Linked DNA regions of Coturnix japonica. The protein of the gene in region 4 interacts with the protein of the main gene of each other region in a biochemical or structural test. Links are inferred from orthologs where the notes say so. Each region holds a gene or a part of one and is shown on either strand. Other genes may lie near its edges.

What was found.
Region 1: the proteins of BMP7 (region 4) and BMPR1B form a complex in vitro, tested with the Homo sapiens proteins (2 studies listed by BioGRID). The link is inferred for Coturnix japonica from reciprocal best matches to the Homo sapiens genes BMP7 and BMPR1B.
Region 2: the proteins of BMP7 (region 4) and ACVR1 form a complex in vitro, tested with the Homo sapiens proteins (2 studies listed by BioGRID). The link is inferred for Coturnix japonica from reciprocal best matches to the Homo sapiens genes BMP7 and ACVR1.
Region 3: the proteins of BMP7 (region 4) and ACVR2A are reported together in a solved structure, tested with the Homo sapiens proteins (2 studies listed by BioGRID, with this or other methods). The link is inferred for Coturnix japonica from reciprocal best matches to the Homo sapiens genes BMP7 and ACVR2A.
Region 5: the proteins of BMP7 (region 4) and BMPR1A form a complex in vitro, tested with the Homo sapiens proteins (2 studies listed by BioGRID). The link is inferred for Coturnix japonica from reciprocal best matches to the Homo sapiens genes BMP7 and BMPR1A.

The regions. Positions count from the first base shown.
Region 1 is NC_029519.1:52,477,003-52,481,262, reverse strand, and holds the start of BMPR1B (bone morphogenetic protein receptor type-1B), read right to left. Parts: upstream 2,810-4,260; 5' UTR 2,757-2,809; coding exon 2,747-2,756; intron 1-2,746. UniProt on the Homo sapiens protein: On ligand binding, forms a receptor complex consisting of two type II and two type I transmembrane serine/threonine kinases.
Region 2 is NC_029522.1:29,815,635-29,819,146, reverse strand, and holds part of ACVR1 (activin receptor type-1), read right to left. Parts: intron 1,462-3,512; coding exon 1,331-1,461; intron 647-1,330; coding exon 512-646; 3' UTR 1-511. UniProt on the Homo sapiens protein: Bone morphogenetic protein (BMP) type I receptor that is involved in a wide variety of biological processes, including bone, heart, cartilage, nervous, and reproductive system development and regulation.
Region 3 is NC_029522.1:31,390,547-31,394,807, forward strand, and holds the start of ACVR2A (activin receptor type-2A), read right to left. Parts: upstream 2,802-4,261; 5' UTR 1,485-2,801; coding exon 1,430-1,484; intron 1-1,429. UniProt on the Homo sapiens protein: On ligand binding, forms a receptor complex consisting of two type II and two type I transmembrane serine/threonine kinases.
Region 4 is NC_029535.1:10,587,496-10,591,274, forward strand, and holds the end of BMP7 (bone morphogenetic protein 7), read left to right. Parts: intron 1-511; coding exon 512-661; 3' UTR 662-3,268; downstream 3,269-3,779. UniProt on the Homo sapiens protein: Growth factor of the TGF-beta superfamily that plays important role in various biological processes, including embryogenesis, hematopoiesis, neurogenesis and skeletal morphogenesis.
Region 5 is NC_029521.1:1,763,890-1,767,908, reverse strand, and holds the start of BMPR1A (bone morphogenetic protein receptor type-1A), read right to left. Parts: upstream 2,808-4,019; 5' UTR 2,701-2,807; intron 2,258-2,700; exon of another isoform or gene 1,996-2,257; intron 1-1,995. UniProt on the Homo sapiens protein: On ligand binding, forms a receptor complex consisting of two type II and two type I transmembrane serine/threonine kinases.

The DNA.
Region 1 (4,260 bases), on a different chromosome or scaffold from region 4:
CCTTGTTACAATAAGCACAGGAAATCATACAATACAGTGGCAGTCAGCTGAAACTTTTACCGCAGAGATCATAAATCTCAGAGCGAGATCAACAGCCTCACAAGTAGTGTGGAGATCAAGATTAGTTTTATGCAGGGTTTTTGAGATTAAGTCATACAAGTTTTAATGAAGTCCTCAGCAAAAAAAACAGTTTCAGACAGCTGTGGGACTGAAGACAAGCCTGGAGAATTATGCCTTGAGTCTGTAAGCAAGTGAAAATGAAGATGGAACAACAGCTACACGAGTATGATGAAGAAGATAGAGGAGAAACGATGTTCTACATGTTTGCATTGTAAGAAAAAACGATTTCACAGACTGAACAGAGACACAAGAACACAGAGAAAAGGATAAATGGGAGGACCAGAGCTTTCTCTTCTTTCACAAATCTCTATAATTAACCACTCCATTAGAACGCTAGAATGCAACGGAGAAATTATTCATTTAGACAGCTCCTATGAAATCTTTACTATGTCACTGCTTATCTTATCTGAAGTAGTTTTACACAGATCAACACCAATTCAAGAGTTGCAGAATGGCTTGATTTCATTCCTATTCCAAACAGTGGCCAAATATTTATCATTTCCTTTGCAATATTGGAACAGCTAGAAATTTTGCAAGGTCATAAACAGAACTGATTTGCTGATAATGGTCTGATTCAAGTAGCTATCCTTTTTCCTTTAGAAGATTTGTTGCCCTCCAGTTGTTATAATCTGATGTTTTAAGGGAAAAATTATTGTTGTTTGTCATTAAAGAATGTTTTTGCTGCTAATCATATGCTTAGACTTCTACTTTTTAAAAAAAGAAAATATGCAGCTAGCTTATAATGACATCATTAGTTCATGGCATATGTTACAGTTCTCCTTATTCAGAGATAACTTCAAAGAAAACCTGTTCATACTAGTTCTGTGAACATTCCTGTACAGAAAATTAACCACTGAAATGAACTGTGATATTTTGTGTTTTCTTTACAGAGACAACCTGCTGATGGTGAATACTTCTCCCAAATAACTTCAGCCATGGTATCCTGGAGTTCTCATGCACCTCTGATATGCATTTCCCAATGAATTAAAATTCAAAACACTTACTGACTTTACCCCCTCAGAATCATTAAACAGATTTTTTACAGGAAAGATGGGAAGGGACTTTTATAAGGGCATGTAGTGACAGGATGAGGGGAAATGTCTTTAAATTGGAAGAGGGTAGACTTGGACAAGATGTTAGGAAGAAATTCTTTACTTGAGAGTGATGAGACACTAGAACAGGTTGCCCAGAGCTTGTAGATGCCCCTGTCCTGCAGGTGTTCGAGGACAGGCTGGATGGGGCTTTGAGCAACCTGATCTAGCGGGAGGTGTCCCTGACTATAGCAGGGGTCTTGGAACTAGATGATCTTAAGAATATGTTCCAACCCAAACCATTCTGTGATTCCATGATTCTATGATGTTGAAGACTTTCCTTTTCATTGCTGAGCTCCTTCAGAAGGGACTGAATATTGGAGATCCAGATCTTTCACTTGCATCAGGTTATGCGCATAAGGTCATATCCTTTCTGAAATACTCAGATTGTGTTTATAGATCCTAGTCTGGCATTAATGCAAAGCTACAGGTTGAAAAGGTTTGGTTTTCTAAGCTACTTGGTTTCTGACCACTCCATATTAGTATTTCAGAACACAGATGTGCAATATCACTGTTCTGCTTCACTATTTCCCTTCCAGTCATGCAGGATCACTCTGAGAGGGGGTAAGTCTATCCATTGGTAACACAAGTCTTTGCAGGATTTCTTATCTAGCAGCTACTTGGCAGTACAGCAGGTTGTTCCCCAATAAGGGGCATAAACCTCTGAACTCAAAGGAATACAGATCACAAACAAGCACAGCTATTTCAGAACTAAAAACTGGCATAATATATACTTCAATACTAATGTAAATCCTACTCTAAAGTCTAGGCTAAAGTAAACTTCTCCCCTGGAGCAAAGGCTTTAGACTCACAATAAGATTACTTATAGGCTCTAAAGTAATACCTTCAGCTTTTATCTCAAAGGTGATCATTTTCCAGAAAACCTAGCTCAGTCCTGTGCTTCCAAAAAGCGCTTGATTTGTGCCTTCTCATGGGAAGTCCATGGAGGAAAGGATGACATCATCCACAGTCACAAGCACTTTAATGCAGAAAATGCAAACTTCATGGACATATATGGATAGAATGAAAGAAAAAACAACAGCAAACTGTTCCTGAACAGAAAAAGCAAAGGTCTTGGATAAGCATAAAACACTTCATTTTGTTTTTTGAACTTCCCAAGAAGAAGAATTTGCCTGTGCTGAACTAATGTTAAACATACAAATGGAGGTATATTCACTATAGACAAGGTAGTCTGCAATCTTGCTTTTTAACCATGACACTGCGTGTATCCTTCCAGCTATTAAAAAGCATGCCTTCTCATTTGTGAGTGCTTTTTGTTCTTTTCCTTAATCTATTTCACATTTCATTTTCTGATCTAAAGGTGACACTGAACAAAAAAAAACGTTTCAGCTGGAATTTGACCATATGCTATCAGAATGGGCTGAGTTAAAATGAAGAAAAAACATTATACAATTTATTCTCCAAAGGACAGAAAAGTCTAGAACATACTGGGAAACAAATACAGAAAAGACACACAGTACAACTTCTACTGTGCTTCTGCACACAAGTATAACCAAGATTTGAAATCCCTGTACCTGATCTCATAATTGTGCATAACCAAAACAGCAGCCAAAAAGGTCAGTACCTATAAAAACATGAAGAAGATTCATCATTAGCATTCACTCTAAACTGCAAAAAATACACCTATAATCCAGACCAAATTTATCATTCCTCTTAAACTCTACAAGCACAGAGAAACTTCACTCTGCTCCTTATATAATCAGGGATCTCATGAGTAAGCTGATATTATGGCCGCAAAATGCTGGGAAACAATACAGTAGCCATAAAAATGCAATATTTTGTAAGATAAGGAAGCTGTTTGCCATGACTGATATTTATGCAGATTTCTTAAATTAAGCTGAATAATATTTCCATAGCTCTCCCGCACCCTCCATCACAGCAGCTCTTTCAAAGGGAGTTCCCCATTGGGAATGCCAGAGACAAAGCGGGAACAGTGCTCTGCAGCCCGGCGCAGGAGGCTGCCCTTTTCCCCTCGCCCCATTTATCAGCCTTGCAGGCAAAAGCTGAGAAAGAGGCACAGATTGGAATAATTACACAGACAGTTGGGGCCTTATTAAACAAATTGCTCAGGATCAGTAGTAATTAAAATCTATTGAGAAAATGAATAGAAGCCATCAGAAAGCTTTTAAGATTATAGAAAAGTGCAACAATATGAGGAGCTGCTAGGTTTCATGATGCATCCTCTGTTAGGCAAAAAGACTGGATTCTAATGAAAAAGTCAATGAGTAACTCTTTTGTAACACACGTAAGCTCGGCATAAATAATATGCAATTTGACTGCAGAAACATAATTTTACTCTACATCAGTTTTCATCAGTGGGTTTAGTTTGCAAATGTCAGAAAGCTATGATAGATCAAAACTGATTTAATGCATTTGCAATCATTAGTATCTACATGTTTTATCGGGGAAAAATATGATTGCAATATAGACATGAAGCAGGGTAAGCACATAATGTTGATTGAAAAGACAAAAGTACCCCATCTGAAACTGAATTTGATACCATAAAGCTTAGAATGCTGGCATTCTTTCTTATCAACGCTGGATGCATGGGGGATATTCTCTACCTACACCTTATATATATATATTACTTGTCTTAGATATTCAAAAGCTTTCCTGGTCAGTACATACATGTTCAATACTTTCCTCAAAATCATTAACATAGGGTTCTGCCTCCTTGCACATGCTCCATCTTTTTATGGTGGTGGTCGCAAGATCCTTAGTCAGAATTTTACCGCGTTCACTGGTCAAACCCAGTATTCATGCATGCTCAGTTAGCTCCTTGCCTTGATTACACAATCCTTGCTTACACAAAATGAGCTGATTCAAAGCAGAACTTCCTTATCTACTTGATACAAGGAGTTCAGTATATCATCGTTATCTACTTGCTGCAAGTACAAAGATTCTTTCTGTTTTCTAAACAGACTGTGGGGCTATCTCTCAATGAGCATTACCAACCTTAGCAATATCACTACAACCTGTATTAAATCCACTTTTCTTCCCCTTTTAAACTACCTGTTTTTAAAATCAT
Region 2 (3,512 bases), on a different chromosome or scaffold from region 4:
GCCAATCGTATTTTTGGCAAGTCATGTCATTAAAATTAACAGTGACAGTGCAAGTAAGGAATGCAAAGAATTCCTAGTGCAATAAAGAAGAGAAGCACAGGCAATATTGCTGATTAAAATTACCACTTCCGCGTGTTCACCCTGGGAGTGATTAGGAGAATTTAAAGATAAAACAACCAAAAAGGGGGGGGTTGGGGAGGGGGGGGGAAGCTGTTCAAAGCCATTATTTAATGCCCTGATCTTGTCTTAGGATTTCTCTGTCTTCCTTCAGGCCACTACCTTTGCAACAGTACATCCAGCATGAGTCTTTATAGCTTGACCGTTTGTGAAATGCCCACTGCAGTCACTGAGCAAAGTCCATATGGTTCCGGTGTCTCCCAGATGGATGGCTTGGTAGGAGCTGCTGCCTCTGTAAGAAGCCACATGGGGACCGACTACACGAACTGCCTGGCTGGGCTGCCTCTGAGCCAGACACGTGCCTTCCTGTCAGGAAAGCACCACAAGAAGAAGGTCAACAGTCAGCTTTCAGTTTATCTAAGGAATTATCGATTTTGGTCAAAGTCTTTTTGATTCGCAGGGCTGTTAGTCGTGCTGATGGATTCTGATACCAGCATTCTTTCATCAACTTGGCAAGAGATGTTAACGTCTGGAAAAGAATAACAACAAAACACACATGTAAGTACACAAATCACAAGCCAGAACAGCAATAGGTTGGGCCCTAACACAGAATGGCTTTACCACCTTACGCATCATCTATTAGGCATTTCAAATAGACCAGTTTTTGAGTGCTGAAAAGTAGAGTTTGATAATTAAAGAGAATAAGTGACTCAACAATGGGCTGACTGCGGTGTCGAACCATCACAACTTTAGAACAGTAGTCTGAGGGGTCCAGACTGACTGTGGTGAAGGAAAACTTCAAGCAGCAGTCGCCTTTCAGAGAGAACTGTCCCTTATCATGGAGGCAGGGGAATCAGAGCACTGCTCCAAGTCTGTGTGCTTATGAGCCACAGAAAGGCCTAACAGGCTTCATTTCCCCCATGTACACCCTCCCTTGGAAAGTGAGTAATAACAAAGGAAGAGTAGCGTGAAAACAATTATTAATTCTTACTACTGAAGGGCCAGTGTGAGAATAGCTCAGATTTAACAGTCTGCTCATCGAGTTTTCTTCCTTCTGTAACATCAAGGTGCACACATAGATGGGTCTGAAACCTATGCTGGCAAGTAGCACTGAGATGATCTCAGCTTCAGATGGTTATAGGAGCAGTTCGCATGGCTTCAGGTCAGGAGAGGGGTCAGCTTTTACAAACCATACACCGGAACGTCTACTCACAGGGTCTGAGAACCACCTGTTGGGAATGTTTGGCCTTTGCTGATCTACACAGACCACTTTCCTCATGTCTTCAAAACTGGGATCATTGGGAACCAGGTCATAAAACGGTGGTTTATAGTCTTCTACAATACCTAGTGAAATACAACCAAGAGAGGCATTATTAAATGGCTGTCAGTGAAAGAGCACCTCTGCAAAGCCAGCATGTGTGAACCAGCCACCAGAGAAGCACAAAAATACCTGTAAGACTCCACACTGCCGTGCTAAACAGTCACTAGAAAAACAGAATAGCACTTACTATCACGGCAAGAGTTTCTCCTACCATGCAGCAAAATTAAAAGCTATATCCATTTTGGAGATGCCTGAGCCAAAATAAGAGGTAAATCTACTTGTTGGAAAGTCGTCTTTCATAAGGCATGGAGGTTTACAGGCTACCAGAGAACTGAGATATCTAGTAGAACAGCACAGAATTTCATCATCTGCACTGTTGTTTCCAATAGGGTTGACACGCTTTGTGCTGTTCCATGCATCATGAAAGAGTCCCATATGGATGTCAGCATCTACTGACCCTCACGCCGGTGCTTCGCATAAAATCATTTCTGCTACTAACACAGTAAAATGCTTAGGGTAAGTGGCAACGCACATCTTCAGGTATAGGCTTTGCTATGGTATCTGAATGCAGTTTCCAAGATTCTGCTTTGAAAAGTGAGTAAACAAGAAGTTAATGCGTGTTCTCTCCACTTGTCCCCAGGTTACATAAGAGCAGCCTGCTGAAAGTCTTTTGCCTCCTCACTCTGGCATGCGTGCAGCACTGCCGCTGTTGTGGATTAAGCTCATCAATGACCCAGGGAGCTCAGCTTTCTTCAGAAGCCAGTTTAAAAACTGGTGTTTCAAGTTAGTTCGGAGAAACAGTGAGCAAATGAAGTCCTCTGTGTACAGCAGAAGCACAGACAGAACAAAGCTAGAACTGCTTTTTAGCAGCCTGGCAGCTGGTCTATAATCAGATACACACAAAATTCAGGATACTTTTTACTTCAAGTTATACTTGAGCAGAAAAAACAGTTCTCCAACATTTGCTACAGTGCTTGTTGGGATTTAGTGCTCTTGTTCTGTTGAAGACTAAGATCAAAATCCCACAGACACTCAGCAAAAGTCTGTAAATCTCCATATCTGTGGACTGGGCTTCAGCAAATCCTAACTCACCTGGGAAAGAGCTCAAAGACCTGGCTGTCCAAGGGACGTCCCAGAACACAGCCACTACCAGCCCACAGGTTTGCCACGTGTGCTCACAGCGAGCCATGCATGCTGTGTGTGCCACATTCTGTTTCCAAGCAACTTCTAACTAACTGCATATACTGAACATCACCTAGAGGGCTGAACTTTGGTCATGTCCTCCTTCTGCATCCTCTCAGAACACAAAATGAAGTCTGTGAGAATTTAAGAATACAAAAAAGCTCTTTTGGGTCTGTATCACTTGAAATGGAAGCAGCGGTTTGACACCATTCACAGGCAAACCCTCAGAGCTACACAGTACAGTCCTGAAGGTGCTGCCAGTGCCATTACAATATCAGATTATCACTGAGCAAGTCCAGCTCTGTTTCAGTTTCCTATGCTCACATAAGCATTCCAACCAACAACATACAGATGGCTATTTGAGGTACGGCACAGTATTAGAACACAAAGTCAACATGGTCTTGCCTTTACTCCAACAGAGTAACTGCGGAGCCCCTAATGCTCCTGGGGCAGCTGCTGGCTGCAGCAGCTGGTTGGCACAGCCACCAAGTGCCACCTCTCACCCACACGCCTCCTCCCAGCAAGATCGCTGTCCTGAACTGTGGCACATTTCCCTCTCTCACTTCCAGAGGAAAGGAAATGAGCCTCTTACTACAAGAGGCCCCGCTAAGCACAACCTACAGCTCTCCATTTTCTGGACAGCCTTAACGACTTCTGTCACTGACAACACCCTACGCTTCTCTCTCTGGAAGAGCTGATTTTTGCTAACCAAATGCAATGGAACTCTCACAGAGCAGCAGTTTTTTTCAACTTTATCCTCTGTTACTTGCATGAAGGCTTATCTTGTATGTAGAAATGCACTGTGGAGCAATACAGGACCTCCACAAACCCCAAAGCTGCAGGTACAGCCCTGCAGACACAACACAGACCACATGCCATTGAGCAGCAGCCC
Region 3 (4,261 bases), on a different chromosome or scaffold from region 4:
ACAAAATCACTGCAAGAAATCGCCTGCTGTTTCGCAATAGGAATAAATGGCGTACTCTAATCTGAAGAAAAATAACCCAAAAAACCACTCCCATCTCTCCCTAACCTGCCCTGCTATTTGTCTGCTTAAAACAGAAAGGGTTTTTTTCAGTTTCTCCCTGGCAGAGATCGCCATTTCACAGCACATTTAGCCCACACGGAACTGATCAATAACACTACAGACACAAGACTAGACTATCCATTTACTAACCACAAGAAAATGTGCCGTTCAGCAAAATCCCTCGCATCCTAAGGCTGAAGTTTTCAAAGGCATCATCGCTCTGCAGATCTCATTACCGCCCTGGAGCAGTCCCGCACAAAGCCAGCCGGCCTTCAGGATGAGCAACAAGTGTGTCCCTGCACTGCACAGAACAGAGCCCAAAAGTGCATCGACACACACACAGAGGGCTGCACACACATTCAGCACGTGAGCAGGAAGGGTCAGGCTCAGCACACGAGCAACACATCGAGTGTTACACAGCTCTGCAGGTTTCAGGTGCAGCTGGTGGCAGCAGCTCTCCAGCCACCGGTTGCTCCATCACCATTTCCCTCCCAGCCCAAAGGATGGAGCCTCTCACACCGCTCGTCTCTGAGGTCTGAGAGCCACAGCACGACCGCCGGGTTTCAGGCGCTAAGAAAGTGAAAAACCGAACGGCAAAACACGAAACCCAACAGCTGAACACAAATCACTGTTCGGAAATGGAAAGTCTGGCTTTTCGGGCTGTTTCGGTGCACGCACCGATACGTGCTCAGCCCTCGCTATCGGTGCGGGATGAGCTCATGCTTTCACAACAGCAATTATTCCGAACTAATGAAGCATTAATGAAGGTTGCCATCCACCGCTGGACGCTTCCAGAGCCCTAAATTAAGTTCGGAATATTTCACAGCTTGGTAAATAATCCACTGGAGCAAACACGAGGCCGGGAACTGCCCACAAGTGAACGAGGTGGGCACAGCCCCGGGTGGGACCCACACGAGCACTATGAGCACTGCACGTACCTGAAAGAGTTGTGCACCGGGGAATGACAGTGAGAACAGGAATCTTTCACTGCCATCCCCAAACGTTTGGCATTTCATAGACTCACTGAACGGCCTGGATAGAAAAGGACCACAAACTGACCCAGCTCCAACCCCCTGCTGTGTGCAGGGTCACCAACCAGCAGCCCAGGCTGCCCAGAGCCACATCCAGCCTGGCCTTGAATGCCTGCAGGGATGGGGCATCCACAGCCTCCTTGGGGAAACTATTCCAGTGCATCACCACCCTCTGGGGGAAAAACTTCCTCCTGGTATCCAACCTAAACCTCATCTCAAGAAATGACCTCTCGTCCCACCGATACAATCACCTCGTGCTTCCAACAGCTGAGCCCAAAGCAACAAAAGCACGCACTCACCTGAAGAACACGAGATGAGAAAAACAGCGAACGCTAACTTCGTAGCAGCTCCCATTTTCCAATGGCGTTAGAACATTTAAGTGACTTTTAGCATCCAGTTTCTCGGTCCTGCAAGCCGGACAATCCCCTCTTCTTGCGGAACCGTTATAAAGCGATCTAGAGCAAACTTCTCCGTTGATAGTGTTCACCAAACAGTAAAATCGGGGTCGTTTGGAGACCGACGGTCGCTTCAAAGCGAGAATCCGGGTTCGGGGGGGCTCGAACTATTGTGAGCGGCGTTTCAAAACACACGTGTCATTTGGCTTCTGGACCAAGAGCGGCGGGATTTAATTCACAAAAGTACGCTACGAATCCACGGCAAATAAAGGAAGATTGATTGAAGTCAACGGCGGAGCCGCCGGGTGCGATCCGAGGCGGTGTGTATCGGCGCTCACTCCGTCATGAAGCTCCGTGTTTCCCCGCTCTATGTCCCGGTTCCCGTTATGCAGCGCGGGGCTCCGGGCAGCGCGGTGGCTCCATGGCGGCTCCGGGCAGCGCTCCGACAGTCCGAGCGGCAGCGGGGCTGAGCGCTCCGCTACGGGAAACACGATTTACGATTCCCCCCCTCTACGACGATTCCTCCCCCTACGATGCTTCCATGCCCCCCCCACCCACCCAGCTCCCCCGAGACTCGGCTTGGTATTTAAACGCAAAATGAAGGGAAAAAAATAATAATAAAGAAAATAAAGAGCAAAGCAACGGCAAGGCCAGGCACGGCTCCCGGTGGCTGCGCTCCGCGGGGCCGCTCAGGGCTGCACGGCCGCCCGCAGGGCCCTTCCCTCGGCAGCCCCCGGGGACATCGCCCCGCAACGAGTCTGCTGCTTTTGAGGGAAAAACAAACAAATAAACGCAAAAGAGAAGCAGGACCGACAGGAGAAGGGCCCACAGGAGAAGGGCTGACAAGGAGAAGCCCTCGTGCCGCCCTGAGCTCCCAGCCCTCAGCCCTGAGCTCGCAGCCCTCAGTCCTTATCTCCCGGTCCTTAGCTCTCCTCCCGCCTCACTCCCGTCCCGCTCGGATCTCGGCTGGTCTCTCCCGTCTCCCTTTTGCCGTTGTCAGAGCGGCGGACACCAACTTTGTCCCTCCAGCAGTGCGGTTTGAGGGTTGCCGAGGAGAAAAGGCCGAGCCCGGTTTCGATCTGCGGGCGGTGCTGGTGGTTGGAGCCGTCTCTAAAGTCTCCCAAGTCCAACCTGCAGCTCGGAACGACCCTCCGTACCCTGCTGCTGCCGCTGCTCCCCTGTGGTAATTTCATATCTACCCATTCACTTGTGTGGCGTGGAGAACGGACCCAAGATGGCGGCGCCCGGCCGATTGTTTTTGTTTCCTCTCCTCCTCCCCCTCCCCCCCCTCCCCTCCACACTCACGGCAGCCCGGCAAGACACGCCGTGCGAGAGCGCGCCGCATCGGATTGACAGCCGCGCCGCCCAATCACAGCGCGAGGAGCGCCGCTCGGCCCCGCCCCCCTCCAGACCCACCCCGAGGGGGCGGGGCGCGCTCCCCCCTCCCCTCCCCTCCCACCTGCCCGCGTGTGCGCGCGCACGGCTGAGGAGGCGCGCGAGCGGGCTGCGTGCACGCGCCCCGCCTTCCCGCCTCAGGGCGTGGTGCTCGCGCCGCCCTCAGAGCTGCTCTGTGTAACGACTGCGGTGGGAAGCCCTCCTTTATTTAATGCCCCGTTGGTGGCTTTAATAGATGCCCATAGTTTGCATCAGGGATAAAGAAATGCTTGTTTAGGTGTTGAGGACTGATGTGGGGAAGCACAAAGGCCTCAGCGCTGGGATTTAACTTCTGTATTTCTGAAGCAAGAAGCACCAAGTTCTCAATAACTACATCACTAACTATAGATGTGCATTGGAGGGTTACGGTCCAAGTTCCCTTGGTGGGGAGCTGTCGTTACGTGGTGCTACATTGGGTGCTGTGTGCGAGGTAATTCACATGTGTGGGTTTGCAAGTCAATCACAGAATGACCCGGGTTGGAAGGGACCTCAAGGATCATGTAGTTCCAACCCCTCTGCCTGGCAGGGCCACCAAACGTAAGTCAAGGCTGGGTAATGGCCTCAAGTTGTGCTGGAGGAGGTTCAGAGTAGATACGAGGAGCCATTTGTTCTCCAGAGAGCAGCCAGGCACTGCACAGCTGCACCGGGTGGGGGTTACCATCCCATGGATGTGCCCTGGATGTGGGCATGGGGGGTGGGTCCACATGGGGATCTCAGAGCTCTTTGTTAACCTTAATGATTCTATGATCCTCACTTCAAACACCAACACAAAGTCATCCTCCAGTGACGTTTTTGATTGGAAAAATACCCCAAAATCAAACAAGCCGTATGGGATCGTGCGCATCATGAAGCACCGGGATGTGTGGCAACACTTTTTATGCCATTTTTTTTAATCCAGGCATTTCAGGATGATTTACAAGCATTAATTAATGCATTACAACACTCCTACTTAATCTGTAGCTTTTAATATTCTTCAATAGCAGAGTATTTAAACGTGACCTGTTCTGCAGGTTGCGTTTTCACTTTGCTCAGCTTCTTCGGGATGCTTGTCGTGTTGCCACATGAGCAGGAAATTACAGCTAAAAATATTGCCATTGTATGTGTTTATATATATAGATAGATAGATATAATAGCACAAATATGCCACCTGTGTAACATTTGCATGAATTTTGTAGGAAGGAAGGAGGTATCTCGAGATTTCTCAAGTTGCTCCTTGTTCTTAACCATGGGCAGGTCTTTGCCTGCAGTGTCAGTTGAGCAGAGTGGAGCCTCCTGGCCATCCACAAAAGCAGCGATCCTCCT
Region 4 (3,779 bases):
AAGAACAGCACCGCAAAAAGCACTAGGGAAGCCAGAAGCATCCTCATATCCAAGACAAGAAGCTTTGCATGTTCTCCTCCTGAAGGACTGTTTACTCTCCTCCCTCTCTTGGAGGCCCTGCAGCAGCAGTCAGGGACCCACAGCCCTTGGTGCCAGCCAGCACAGGGCCCCCCACACAGCACCCATGGGACTGCTCCCAAAACCTCACACGCACACCCTGCAGAGTTTATTGGAACTGGTACATTGCTGCAGAACGCTGGCTGCTCTGACAAATGGGAATCTTCTAATGAAAACCTGCTTCACTGAAAGATTTCCAACTAGATCTGACTTGGGTGCGTGCGTCAGCCTCCATCCATGCAAGGGGACATCTCGAGACATTTGTACACAAAGCCAGGTGTTCAAAACATGTCTGTGTGTGCTTATGGGGGAGAGAGGGCTGCCTGGGAAAGGAAAACATGAGGGAGGAGAAGGGAAATGGAAATCTTAACATGCCTCTGCTTTAATTCCTCAGGTTCACTTTATAAACCCAGAGACTGTGCCGAAACCCTGCTGCGCTCCCACCCAACTCAATGCCATCTCAGTGCTCTATTTTGATGACAGCTCCAACGTTATCTTAAAAAAGTACAGGAATATGGTGGTACGAGCATGTGGCTGTCATTAGATTTGTAGGGAAGAGAAAGGTTATTCATAAAGAGAGAGTTTTGTATGGATGTGTGGGGGAGGGGAAAAGGTTAGCACTGCAGCAATGGGCTCAAAAATCCCAGTTTTTAAGACTGGGCTTCTGAAAGTTCAGACAATGGAACAGTTTCTGGATCTAAGTGGCATTTGAACACATTTTGTTTTAGTTTATTACAGACAATGAGCTTGTAAACTGAAACAAGCCAGAGAAACCATTTAAAACCAAATCTGCCTGCAAAATTGGCTCCTACAACACATACTTCTGCAAACGAGTCTTTCAGAAGACTGCAAATTCACCAATGTTGATTGTGAATTAAAAATGAATAATTATCCAAAGCGAGAATGCGCTGTGACTATTGAACATGTGTAGTTCCTGTAACACAGTTTGCAATAAAGTAAGTGAACAAAATATACCTGGAGTGAACAGGTATTTTGTTAGAGAATTATTACTTCCATCCCTCTGTTTGCAACTATTTCATAAGCAGGAGCAATTTTAATTGGATGCAAGTTCCAGTTTTAAATGGCAGGAGCAGAAGCGATATCTGGATTGAATGGAGTTCAAAAGGACAAACCAGACTGAGGAAAAGAACACTGTAATGGGCAAGTAAAAGAACTGAAGGAAGTAACTCCAAAGAACAAGACTTTGGAGGTATACTTCTTTTTCCTCAAGAGAAAAGAAACTTCCTGTAGCAACCAGAAAGAATTTACGTGCTATGAGTTTGAAACAGGAAAGCAGCACAACATTAAGAAACAATCTGGGATTAAACCTAACGCTTAGCTGGGGTACCTCGATCAGCTACAGAGTTGTGAAAGACAGCTGAAGATCCTGCTCCTGTTTGGAAAACATCCATTGACTTCAGTGACAGAACAAACTCCTCTTTTGAAAGACGTGAAGTCAGAAGGTGCTGTGAGCACAGACAAACTGCCAACACCACCCCAGCACAGCTATAGGGACATTGCAGGGGACCTTACATCCCAGGGTCAGTGATTGCAATAGAAGACACTGCTCTACTACTGGTCTCATCTCTGAAAACAACAACAAGCAAAACGCAAACAAAAAAAACCCACAACAACTTTCAGGAGCCACATCAACAAGCTGGAACCAGGAACAAGAAACCACCCCTTTGCCTTCTTTTAAAAGCACAGGTTACACAAGCATCACATTTATGCAATTTAAACTTGAAGTCATTGTGATAAGAATACAGAATAGCAGAAACCAATCACAAGCTAACTCAAAACTTGGGCATACATTACAACTACAGAAGCAGGACTGGCATGAATTTTACTGGAGAGAAAAAGGTTCTGTCCAAATAAACGCCAGGTCCTCAGCAAACGCAGCTCTAAATCCTCAAACTTCTGAAGTCTGGACCTCTAATAGATGGGTCCAGAACATCATTAAGTGCCTTGACGTGGTTCTCAGCACACTGAGGGGATGTGATACAGCTGCAGGGGGAACTCAGCCCCAGGTCCATCCTTAGAGGACGGAGAGAAAGAAGATAACAGAATGCAACCACGAGAATTTGGAAATCAGACACTGCTCCTCTTCCTTTAGCCACAGACCAAATCCAGACCAGATGGCTTATTTAAAAAGCAAACAAACAAGTAAAGGAAGAAAAAGATTACTCTATGAAATAAATTGGAAACTTGTTTCTGATGGTCTAATAGCATTTAAGTCAACTGGTGTTTTCCTAACAGTTCTCTCAGCAGCAGGATTAGGCTTATGGGAACGTGGAAGTCTCCCCACGATATTGGTAGGCTTTGGATCTCCAGATGCGCCCCACTTCCAAACCAGACAACTCAAATGTGTGCAGGAACGGCCCACCCACAGCACAACGCTGCAGAGAACCTCCAACCTGCAGCAAGGAGAGACTGACCAAGGTGTCACCCACAGCCACGACAACTACTGAAGCCAAACATGTCTCCCTGGAGCCTGCAGAGAAGACCATCTATAGCAGTCAAGTCAAAACTGCCCTCGGGCATCTCTTAGAGGGAGGTATTGAAATCCTACAGCTCAGAAACATCTTTGGACATTGTATATGTATGTACACCAGTGTTTCTGTAAGCCTCCTAAAGGTAAGGTGCTACACCTAGAAGTTATGAGCTAATCAGACCTAAATTTCCACTATTTAGTAGACAAGGATTAGTTTTTCTTGCAACTGTTTCTGTGCTGGTGGTCACAGCATTGGTGTATTGCATTTTTTTTTTAACTTGGACTGCAGTATCTTGCTGTATAGGATTCATATATTAAATATTATGTGGGGGTTGTTTGTTTGTTTGTTCTTTTCCACATAATAGGATTTCTGTTGCTAGGCTTAACATCAGCTTCACTGTTTGTACATTTTTATGTAAATAGTTGTCACAAAGCAGAAGAATTATTTATTTCCATCTCTGAATTCCTTTTCAATCACATCCAGGAAAAATGATTCTCAGTTCCTAAGCACATTTGTTTCCTTATTTAAGAAGATATTTATTAACAGTTGGCAAAAAATGCATACACATTTCTGGTTCTTCTCATAGAGCAGTTGTCAGAAGCCTTTTGTACAAACTAGTAAAATAAATCATTGCGACTTTACAAAAGATATCCCAACAACATCGTGTATCTGTGTGGTTTTTCTCCCTGTGTTCATAGAACCTTTTAGGCCGGGCAATATTTCACCTTGAGCATCTGTTTCCACATAGCTCAAACTCTGTGAATTGGCAAAACCAGCACATCACTGCTTGGTGCAGCTCCTTCTGTCCAAACACAACAGAGGAAAGAATATGAACAACAACAACAAAAAAATGAATATGTTTTGCAGAGCGCATTGCAAAGATCTATGATTGAATTATAGTGCAGCTGTCAGCAGCTGTTTCAAAGAAGTGGGGGGTAAATTAGTTCTGTTTACTGCTAACATAGTTCAGAGATTTAGTCATCCCAATAAAATTATAGAGGCACAAGGAAGGAAAAAAGAAACTCCAAGGGAACATCAGCCAAGAAGCTGACATTTTCTAATTTAGATTGTTTTAGCATATTTCGGAGATGCTGCTGGCAGGAGGTTTCCTACTGTGGATACCACATTGCATTGCTATGGAGGCAGCTGAAAAAAATAATGGTCTAAATT
Region 5 (4,019 bases), on a different chromosome or scaffold from region 4:
TGCATCTCATCTCTGATGTAGCACAAATGAAGAACTCGAGCCTCATGTTACACTAAAAACACTGATACAAAATACTCCAGTTGTCAACTGACTACAGTAAACTTCAGTGTCCTCTCACTGCTGCGATTCCCATGCAGTTCTGGAGTGCTCCATCTCACACAGTGGTCAGACCAGCAAGAGGCTGCAGCTTACTCTCTCAGCAAGGACACAGCCTCATAGGAAAACAAAGGGAACCTAACATTCACCCTCCCTAGAGGAAAATGAAATCCTTGATATTAAAGAGCAGGAGAAAAATTGCTTTGTTTTGTTGAGGGAAGCACAAAACATACGCCTAGAGCACAAAGTACTCGGTGTGTTTTTGGACCGAATCCCTCACACAAGAGCTATACTGAGTTAAAAGAATAACTCGGGGGGGGGGTAGATAAAATGACTATTTCTGAGAAAAATCAACTGCTCTACAGACTTCACTGCGACTTTTAAGTGACGACAGGAAAGAGAGACAGAAATTCCTTGCTTTCCCTTTAAAGCACCGAATGTTTCAGAAAGCACAGAGACTCCATGACATCACCATGACTAGGAATAATCAGCGAGGGTTTGGTAGAGCAACTGCAAAAGATTTTTGCAGCTCTCGTTCAGGGAAGAAAAGGCACTAAATCATCAGCTGCTACAGGCAAGGCAGCCGTCAAAAATCAAGTACACACACTGCCCCCCACCCCCACACACATTTGAGGAACATTAACGTGTCTAAGCACTCCATCAGTACCTACATATAACAGCTCTGAAGTGACTTACGTGATTTATTTACAGAAAATATTAAGGTATGTGAAGCAAAACCCAGGCACTGAAGACGTTCTCTGTCCCCCCCCCCCCCCCCCCCCCCCCTCAAACGAGGAACCAAAAACCTCACACAGACAGAAAGATCCGATGCCTGACAAAAGCAAGGGAGGAACACTTGCATCTGTAGAACATGCCATCTTGTCTGTTTACCCATCTATGCTTAGCAGAGCTTCAGAAGCTCCATGTGTCAGACATTTAGCTGCACTACAAGGAGATACCATCCTCACTACGGAAGTTGCCATCCACAAGTATCATTTGGTAGTCACATTATGTCCCATTTGCTTCTTGGAGAACAAATACAACCCTGTTGTCATTCCTACCTTTAAACCAAGGCAGAAAATAAATACAACCCTAAGCCACCCACCTACTGCTTGCTTTTCAGGACTCCAGGAAGTAGACAAAGCTATTTATTGTTTCTTCAGCGTGCTTTTTTCTTTGCAGCCCAATGCTTTGTGACAACTCAGATCACAGTAACTTTCATCTATGGGAAGCACATGTCCTTTCTAAAGGAAGTTAGCTGAACCCCCTTGCTTTGGGCAGGGGCTGGACCCAGTGACATCCAGAGGTCCCTTCCAAACCATATCTTTCTCATTTTAAAGAGAAGGATTCCAGTCAGCCCACATGAATTCACTGTCTCCAAACAGAGAGACCAAAGGCATATACAGAGAACTGGCAACTGAAGATTGCAACTATGCATTAATATCTCTGACAGAGCTCCACACTCAGAGCCTGCAGGGCATGCATGTGTCCATACAGAAATACAAACCACACAGACCCTAACACAACAAACCGCAAGTGTTGAAAGATCTATACGAAAGTAACCAAAGTAAAGACACAAAGGATACACACTGTCAACAAGTATTCAAGTAATATTTTCAGGCTGCTACCAATGCCACAACGTGGGGGTCTTACTAACTATAGGCTGGAAGAGCAGGTCTGAATATCAACCGGTCTCATGCAGCTCCTTACTCCAACATAAGGTTCTACTGAGAACCAAGGAACAGTTTGAGCCCAGGCCATCATAGAAGGAGCTGCTCCACTCGCACAGAGGGCAGGCACCAAGCAGCTGACAGGGTATGGAACCCAGCAAATCGTTACCCGTCCTCAAGGAACGCAAAACACAACAAAACACAGCTCACAAACACAACCACTCCGCACCTGGAAGCGTCCCCATTGTACGGCCTTCATCACAACAGGCCACACGACCGCGCTACAGCCTCCCACCGCTCCTTGATGCCGAATTCACTCTTAGTCGTACAGAAGATGAAAGGCTGATGAAAGGCCATTCAAGTTTTTCAGCCTCTTCGGGACATCTCGTCACCAGGTTTAACCGGAACCGGACGGCGGACGCTCACGGTGCCGCGGGATGCCCAGGCGGCTCCTCACCGCCCAGCAGCGGCGGGTCACGGCTCGGCATTAGTGCCGTCCCCCCGCTCCCCGCGGCCTCCCGGAGCCGCTCGCAGGCCCCGCTCAGCCGCCGGCTCGGCACCGCGCCTGGAATTACAACACCGCGGGCGCAGACGCAGGGGGAGGGCGAAGGCGGCCAGACAGAGCGGCGTGCGCCGGGCCTGCCCGGCCCCGCAGGCGGCCCCGTGCCCACGCAGGAAGCCGCCGGCCCCGGGAGCCGCCGCGCTTCGCCCGCCGACGGTCTCCGAGCATCGGCCCGACCCGCGGAGGGCGCTCGGCGGGGAGAGCGGCCGGGCCGGAGAGCTCGGAGCAGAAGGGCCGAGCCCGCAGCCGACGGGGAGAGCGGGCCGGGGGCGGGACGAGGGCCCGGTGCTCGGAGCCCCGCGGGCCGAGAAGGGGTGGAACGCAGGAGCGGGGCGCGGCGCTCCACACCGCCCGGCACGACCCCGCACTCACCGCTCCTGGAGGCTCCTCATCCTCTGCGGCGGGACGGAAGGCGAAGCAACACGGAGCCGCTCCCGCTGCGTTACGCAGGCCGCGCCCGGAACCCCGACGGCTCCTGTAAGACGGGAGCGAAGGCGGCCGAGAGCCGGGAGGGGGAGGGCGGGGCGGGGCGGGGCGGGGCGGGGCGGCGCAGGCTCGCTCCCCGGCAGCGCTCCCGACGCCCGGCGCGTCCCTGCGGAGCTGGAGGGCGGGCGGGGCGGGACGGAGCCGGATTCCAATCACGGCACCCGTGGAGCCCGGCCGCGCGCACGGAGGAAGGAGGGGGAGAATGGGGACGAGCGCGAAGCAGCAGCAGCTCCATCGGCTGCCGGGGAGAGGCGTGAGACCGCTCCTAGGAGCGCTGCCGCTTCTATTGACACGTGCGCTGGGCGGGAGGGCTGCCGGGGCACACCGAGAAAAAGCCGGCCGCTCTTCCTCCCCAGGAGCTCTTCTCCTGGGTGGAGATGCCGCATGGGGCTCCGTGCACCGCCGGCCGAAGGGCCGTCGAGCAGAGCTTTGCCGGTGCAAAGGCGCGGCAGCTCCTGTAGGAGGAGACAGAGAGGTGCGAGGGGCAGCGCGGCCGGGTGCGCTGCGGAGGTGGGGATATCGCAGCTCCTTTGTTTGGGGGGCATAGGGTAACGATGGGAGCTGCCCGTGGATCACTGCTCACGCTGATCCTTGGAAAGCTTGGCATCCCAGTGCCGTAGGAGAGATAAGAGTGGCATTATGGTGAACGGAGTTGTTCGTTTTGCTTTTTTCCATTTCCTGTTTCTTTAAATAAACGAAGCTGGCTGGTTAGATTGGAATACATCATACCTTCTGCACTGAGCTTCTCTGCTTGCTGATAAGGCTGCTGAAGGCTATGATTTGCATTGCATTTCTGAGCTCGTCGTCATTAGGACACATTACCCAAGTACCAATTTGTCTGTCTGTCTCCCAACAGTGGTGCAGAAGGAGCTTCATAACACTGTGCCATGGGATGAGCAGCTTGCATGGGCTGAACCTTGCACTCAACAGACTCTCATGTTGACATGGTCCCATTACACAGTTCTGTGCCAAGAATTTTGTACACGGGGCCAACTATAGGGGGAAACAAAGACCACACTAACCTGCTCGCTTTCCCTCTGCTATTGACCAAGACACCCTTTAGGCCATTTGCCTGCCCAGATAAGCTGTTTTTGGATAGTAACCAATTGGGAAGGAATCTCACTTAGCCACATGTGTGTATGATGTGGGAAACCCTGCTTTGCTCGTTGTGCTGACCTCTACACAGTCCAGCTCCATTTTTGTCT